Tribolium castaneum: one gene and its partner. The protein of the gene in region 1 interacts with the protein of each later gene in a pairwise test. Links are inferred from orthologs where the notes say so. Each region holds a gene or a part of one and is shown on either strand. Other genes may lie near its edges.

Evidence for each region.
Region 2: the proteins of CSN5 (region 1) and HDAC11 interact in a two-hybrid assay, tested with the Caenorhabditis elegans proteins (2 studies listed by BioGRID). The link is inferred for Tribolium castaneum from reciprocal best matches to the Caenorhabditis elegans genes csn-5 and hda-11.

The regions. Positions count from the first base shown.
Region 1 is NC_087395.1:23,654,490-23,658,325, forward strand, and holds CSN5 (COP9 signalosome complex subunit 5), read right to left. Parts: upstream 2,145-3,836; 5' UTR 1,824-2,144; exon of another isoform or gene 1,780-1,823; 5' UTR 1,759-1,779; coding exon 1,601-1,758; intron 1,552-1,600; coding exon 675-1,551; 3' UTR 619-674; downstream 1-618. UniProt on the Caenorhabditis elegans protein: Probable protease subunit of the COP9 signalosome complex (CSN), a complex involved in various cellular and developmental processes.
Region 2 is NC_087402.1:4,112,402-4,116,066, reverse strand, and holds HDAC11 (histone deacetylase 11), read left to right. Parts: upstream 1-1,695; 5' UTR 1,696-1,936; coding exon 1,937-1,941; intron 1,942-1,989; coding exon 1,990-2,230; intron 2,231-2,276; coding exon 2,277-2,855; intron 2,856-2,906; coding exon 2,907-3,077; 3' UTR 3,078-3,099; downstream 3,100-3,665. Other genes in the region: myosin-9, read right to left, coding at 1-171, 214-601, 651-935, 988-1,060, 1,107-1,135; RIB43A-like with coiled-coils protein 2, read right to left, coding at 3,100-3,241, 3,289-3,395.

The DNA of each region.
Region 1 (3,836 bases):
CCGACGTGTCAACAAATCTTTATTTTTAAAGGATTGATTCTAGAATTTGTGTTTGACGCAATTATCGTTTGCATAATGTTTGCACTGGAATATAAATGCATCCGGTTGGGTTTTTGCTACGGAGGACTATGACTTAGGAGACGGAACGAGATGCAGAATCGTGGGATTTTCTGGACCCAAAAAGTGAAGCAAAAATGTGGGCACTTCGAGCGTTATACCGGCGCCAAGTCGTTTTAAATTAATTTAAATTCATTCAATTATTCACTAATTACTTGAAAAAAAAAATGCAGGAATGTTGAGTTTTGCACTCTGAACAGACTGAGAAAAGCTGATCGTATTCCCAGCGTTTTGAAAAATATGGGATAGAGTGCTAATTGGCAAAGATTGAAATTTTTTTAAATGTAGTTTACGGTATTTTTTTTTCATTATGTTTATGTCTTACTATTGAGAATTTAATGCTCCATTTGCCTGTATTTTTTTGCTGTGTTAACCGATATACGAATACAATTTTTTCAAATCCATTGCTTTGGAAGGGAACGTTTTATTTGTACGACGTTTCGTATCCTAACCTTTAGATATCCGTAGTTTTTTAGGACTAGGTAACCAATAACACACCAATTAGATTATAAATAAATATTTATTAAATCCAAACAAATCAGACAGATTAAAACGCGTTAATGGGTCGAATTATTCAAGGAAGTGCTGTTAAAAAGCCGGTCTTTGATCATTTGGGCCATCAGTCCGTGAATAATCTCAATCGTAGTCTTGCAACTGTCCTTTGTAGCTTTCAACAGTTTGTCTTCTGTTCGTTTTTCGTGCGGATCAGTGCCGCCTACGATGAACCCCCCGCGCCCAATGGCCGCTTCCGACTGTTCCAACTTCTCCGACAAATCAAAAATTTGCCCAGTTGTGTAATCAGCATTCGTTAACAAACTAGACGAGCTCAAAGTATTGACCCAATATTTGTTCCACAAGGAATCAAGCAATCGCCTATCAAGTGACGATTTAAAATACGACACTTCAAGCGAATAATATTGTTTGCAATGCACCCCAAAATCCTCGATTTTGTTCAGAGGAATGGTCTGGTACTCTGACGGTTCCTCATTTGCTGGTTTGTACCCTTTCGGGTACGTCCTGAACGCCCCTAGACACACCTTCCCCGCGGAAATGGTTCTCACAGGATCAATCACAATGGCAACGAACGGTTCCTGGAAATTCTGGTTGAGCATCTGGGTGCCAACGTCAATCCCAGACAACCAGCACCCGTATCCCGGGTGGCTGTGGTACCAGCCTATCGCGTTCTCCTGGCGGCCCACCAGCTTCGCAGCCTCGATGTACGAACTCATGTACTCGTAAGCCTGAGCTTGTGCGTTGACTCGGGTCTCTGTCCCTTCCACAGGCAGCGCAAACGAGTCCATCACAAACATTGTGTTTCCGTCGACTTTGCCCAAAATCAGGCCCATGACCTCCAGGGTGCCCCCCGAACGCGCGTGCATGACCATTTTCAAGAGGGCCAAGGCCGAGATTTTGATATCTTTGAAGAAGTGAGGGCTGGAAATTGAGATTAGGTAAAGTGAGGTTAGGGCCGACTTTTGCCTACTCTTTCTCCCAGGGCTTCGCGGCGAGGATGTCTTGCTGCTGCTTCTTGTCGTAGCGGTAAATATCGTCGACCGAGTTCACCAGTTCGACTTTATTGGCCATTTCCCAGGTTTTTTGTGCGATTTGTTCCTGGGTTTCGGAGGTCCCCGGCTTCGACATTGCGGCAAAAGGGGGCAAAAGCTAATCACAAATGGAGAGTTATTGCGAAAATGACGAGGATTTACCGTAATTCTGGGCTATTTTGGGCAAAAATTCGAAAAAATCGGACCTGTCAAAACACAGATGTCAAATTACAGCGCTACCAATCGTAAATATAAAAACTGGAAGGACACTTTTTTAATTTTTTTTTTTAGATATGGGACGATTTACGTATTAATTGCTGTAATAATGAGACAATGCATAATGGTAATGAAAAAAAATCGATAAATTGTTTGTGGCACAAACCGACAAGGAGTTTTGTCACAGAAAATAATTATTTTACGAGTGGCTTGGCATTTGGTGGCCCGTTATTGCCTTCATTGGGCTATTTTTACCGAATTGTGTTTTTCAAGGTGGGACAGGTGTTCGCAAAGTGTGTTAACAGTCCTGCAGATGTCGTCCCATTAGCGTTTTTCTTTTGTTTTTTTCCCATTTGCACGAAACGACTTTGTGTTGGTTTTTGCGAACGTAAAGCCCGGCCGTAATTCGGTGTAACGTTATGGGAGTATAATTGGAGTCTCATCGTTTAAAACCCATAAACAAGTCCAACCACACCCTGACAGTTTTATTAGGGTGGTTTTTTAGCAGTTGGCAATTCTAAAGCGTCTTAAATCAAACCGACCAATCAGCGGGCGGCATTCGGTGCATAATGGTGGGGCGCCCGCCATTTTGATTCGAGATTATGCGCGTTTTAGTTAAAGAAAAGTTTGTAATAAGTAGTGTGGTAACGTTGTGTTGTAGAATTTGTGCTCGTTTTAAATAGGATTTTAGGAGGATAAGGTGAGTTTTGGGCCAAGTGGTCAATTAAATAGCATATTTTTGGGTCCGGGGGGCGATTTCCGCTAACAAATGCCGGCGAAAATGTCGTAGTTTTCGCGATTTGGGACGTTAGAGTCGAGGGATGCGCGCCGGTTGTCGCAGAATTCAAAAATTGGGGCCATGCTTGAGGCTGGGGGCTGTTGCTAGGCCGCGTTCTTTGTTAGTGCACGTCCCCCGTAATTAGGGGCGAATTCGTGACTTGGGGTCCGAGGGTGAGTCAGGGTGTCGGTGTGGCACCCACATGTCTGTGCCGAAAATCCCCAACGGAACGACCATTGTGGTGCACTTGCATTGTTCGGTTATCGCTTATTTCAAACGCAATTTGTTTATTATCTGTCTTCTTGCAATGTAATACGCGCCTGTAAAAAATTCAAATCCAAGGCCACATACTCGCGTATTGAAACACGATGAATTCCTTTCCTCCCGTTCGAACTAAATTTAGACTAGGGGATTTTACCCCCGAATTAAAAATAACCAGGTTTTTTACGCGTAAACCGGGTTTTTAAACGAGTCCAGATACCACCTGCTGCGAATTTTAAAATAACCGCAAGGATTTCCAGCGAATGCAGCTTTGTTTCAATTTAGGTGAGTTTTTGGTGGGTTCAACGGTATTTCCAACTAGTTTCGTGATGTATAGGCTCTTTGTAGTGCGGATAATGTTCTAAGCTGTGACAGTTTCAAGATTAATTTTGACTCCCAACCGGTTATTCTCCAGTAAAAGTTTACGGCTCTAAATCGTGACAATTAAATTAATAATTGTTATGCTTACATTGTAATATTGCGTGAAGGACGCTTTTTAAATTATTGACAGAAACGTGAAAAGCAGTCCCGATCTATTCTCGTTATTACAGTGGGGTCCGGTTATAACGAAATACATCAAAATCAGTTCGCTATAAGCGTAAATTTTCAAATAAAGTGTTTTTTAGCAGTAATTTTTACCCTACATATGAAATAAGACGAAATAAATAAGTATATATAGCAAAAAATTTTTATATGCAGAGTTTTGGTTGGCGAATAAATTTGGGACCAACAAGTCAGTCAAAATTTTGACTTTTAGCTGCCAACTTTCTCATTAAAATTAAGCTACTTTCGTTTTTTTGTTTAGTTGAGACACCCTGTATGAGAAACTTGGCGAGAATTCGGGTTATGCAGTGATAAGCGCTTCTGAAATGTGACTCAATGTGAATCACACTTTTGTTTACTAATAGCTATCTAATTGC
Region 2 (3,665 bases), on another chromosome or scaffold:
TCACATAAGTTTCAATTTCCATCTCCTTCACTCTCACCAACTCCTGACTCGCCTCCAGTGCTTGTCTCATCTGTTCCACTCTTGTCTCGTGGTCGCTTTGTATATTTCTGATTTTCAAGTCGGTTTCTTCGATAAATTCGGTCAAAGTTTGGGAAAATCGCGCTGTTTCTTCTGCAAAAAAACGGTTTAAAGCGAAAAACAAGGGGAATTTACCTTTGGCTTCAGCTTCGCGCAAAAGCGCCGCGTCTTTTTCGTTAAGCGCCGCTTCAACAACTTGAAGAGCTTCCGAAACTTTGGCTTTACATTCTTTGACTTTGAGTTTCAAAGCGTCGATTTCTTCATTTTTGAGACGGACGTCTTTTTCCAACTTCTCCTTATTTCCGTTCGAGTCGTTGAGTCTTTGTTGGAGGTTCAGAATTTCGTCTTCGAGATTTTTTATTATTTTAAATGTGTTGTCCTGACTTTGGAGACTTCCAATAATTTCCTTGTCTTTAATTTGCAATTCCTTCGACTTTAAATTAATTGTTTCCTCTAATTTGACTTTCGTCCGAACGACTGTGTCTTGCAATTCATTTAATTTCGCTTCGTACGAATTTTTCAACTACAAAAAAATCTCGTACCTGACGAAATTAACAAAAACTATTATTTACTTGTGTGAGTTGGTTTTTCGGAATAAATCCTTCGGTGTTTTCGTGAAAAATTCGCAGCTCTGACTCAAGGAGTTCAACAGTAGATGCGGCATTTTGCCATAATTTGACCGCTTGTTCTTTTTCTTCAATTACAGTGTGCAGTTGTTTCTTCAAATTTTCAACCAAATCGCTCTCTTTGTACGTATGTTCAACTTCACATTTAGTTATATCGACGTAAACTCGCCCTAATTCATCTCTCAATTGACTATTTTCGTGGAGGGCTCTCTTGAGTGCTTTTTGTTCGGCCTAAAAACATGTTTTAGTCACACTTTTGTGAAAAAATTCACAAATTTGTTACTTGGACGTCGTCCAAATCCCCGGTCACCTCCTTGAGAGCAGCCTCATAATTTTCAATAAGTGACTGGAAATTTCTACAGAACGATAAATTCGTATCTTATTTATCTATTCCAAACTTACTGAATATTAATATCCCCTGAACTTATCATAATAATAACTCCAAAAAACCATTACGATGACATTTTTTGAAGGATTTCAAATTTTGAAAATGTGACAGAGACATCTGCCGAAGGTCACACCAAACGAGCACAAATTAAAACAGTCAAATGAGGATTATTCACGTTTATTTCAATAATTGTGCGATTATTTGCAAATAACGAAGAATTTTGACCAAATGTGGGTGTAAATAATGTGGCGATTTGTTTGTGTTTACGGGGAGTCGGTCTAATTTTACAGGTGGAACGATCGATAAGTGTCGGCGCTAATTTCGAATGAAGCGCCGAGCAAAAACCTAGAAGGTATTCCAGGCGAAGAGGCTGCTGGTGTATTTTGCACTGTTCTATTTTTGTTTCTGTATTAAATTGAACGACTTGTAAAAAACATCTTAATAAAATAATTACACGCTGAAAGCTTTTTTTTTACCTCAAACACTAAAAATTTTGCTTGTTTATTGATTACACTTACATTTAAATTGCCTGATTGCAAAACAATAAAAGAAATGTGTTTTTTTACGCTTGCAACTTATTGAATTTTGAAAATTTTGGGGAGACATCTGCCGAAGGTCGCGCCGAACTAGCACCAGCTGTAAGGCGAATAAGAGTGAAATGACAATTATTTCCGTTTATTTTAGTAACTGTGCGATTATTTGCAAATATTTGAAAGATTTTCGTTAAATGTGGGGGTAAATAGTGTTGCGGTTTGTTTGTGTTTACGGGGATCGACCTAATTTCAAATATCTGGTGCAGTGGCGATCGATAATTTTGGCGCGAAATTTGAATTGAGCGCCAAATATGAAGTGAGTGAATCCCAATTTTTGGCGCCACTTGAGCAAATAATTTTCCAGTACGAAATTGTATGTAGATATTGGACCGGAACAATGGCCGATTATTTATCGCCCGGAATACAATGTCCGTTTTTTGGGGTTGGAAAAATTGCACCCTTTCGACGCCGGCAAGTGGGGCAATATTTATAAATATTTGAAAAGTTGTGGTTTAGTTAACGACGAAACGCTTTCGGTGCCAAATGAAGCAACAACTGAAGACTTATTAACGGTGCACACTAAAAAGTATTTGAAAAGTCTGAAAGTAAATATTTTTGGGGGTTTTTCATGCGGTAATTTTTTTCTTGTAGTGTAGTTTTAACGTAGCGCTGATAGCGGAAGTGCTTCCGCTGTGTCTCGTGCCAAATTACTTGGTTCAAAGGGGATATTTGCGTCCGATGCGGTTCCAGACTGGCGGTTCTGTTTTGGCGGGAAAGTTAGCTCTGGAACGTGGCTGGGCAATAAATATCGGGGGCGGTTTTCACCATTGTTGCGGTAGCAAAGGTGGTGGGTTTTGTGTGTATGCTGATATAACACTATTGATCCATTTCGTGTTTAATCATCACCCTCGGAGCGTTCAAAATGTCATGATCGTGGATTTAGACGCTCATCAAGGTAATGGATATCAGCGGGATTTTAAAGATAATCCCAACGTCTACATCATAGACGTGTACAACAAAGGGATTTACCCGTTCGACAAACTTGCCAAGGAGTACATCACCCGAAAAGTCGAACTGGCACACTTTACCGAAGACGACGAGTATTTGGACAAAGTTGCAAAAAACCTAACCGAGGCGCTAGCCGAGTTCTGCCCCCAGCTGATCGTCTACAACGCCGGGACGGATATTCTCAAAGGAGACGCTTTGGGGTGCTTATCAGTCTCGCCCCAGGTTGATACTAATAACTGTCATAACAATGAAACTATCTGATTGACTTTCCAGGGAATCATCGAACGGGATGAACTGGTATTCCGGGAAGCCCGTTCCCGGAACATTCCAATCGTCATGCTAACCAGCGGCGGCTATTTGAAAAAATCGGCCAAAATTATTGCCACTTCGATCAAAAACCTACACGATTCGGGCCTAATAACAGGCCCTCAACTCCGCTACTAAAACTGAATAAAACACATTTTTATTATCTTGTTGATTTATTAAACTGGTCGTAGAATTCCGACGTTGGCGTGTTTTTATAAACGACTTTCTCCAAAAACTCCTTACGCTGTTTTTGCTCCACTGCCAACTTTCGGTTTTCCTCAGCTAAACTTTTCACCATTTCCCTGAAAAAACACATTTCGCTACATCCTTTTAAATTTTAATCACGAACCTCTGTTTCCGGGCTTCTTCTTTGTCCAGTAATGATATTGTGCGTTGCGTTCCGTTAATGTAATCGTCGTATTCCCGATTCATCCGCTTTTCCAACTCTTTGCGCTTCTAAAGAATTAAAAAGGAAATTAACCCACCCCGAGGCCCTTTCCAATATCTTTATTAAAGAACGTTAATATTATTGGGACGGTCCACTTAAACTAATTAGAAAAATTGCTGTTTGTGTGCCAAGGGAAGGACGTGCATTTTCTCCTGAAGATAAATTAATCATTTGGGGGACAGAAGAGACTTTCCTCTAGTGTTGTATATACCTATCATTTTTAGACGGCTTTATCCATCTTCTAATTTTTTTAATAAAGTAACTACTTTATTTTTTTA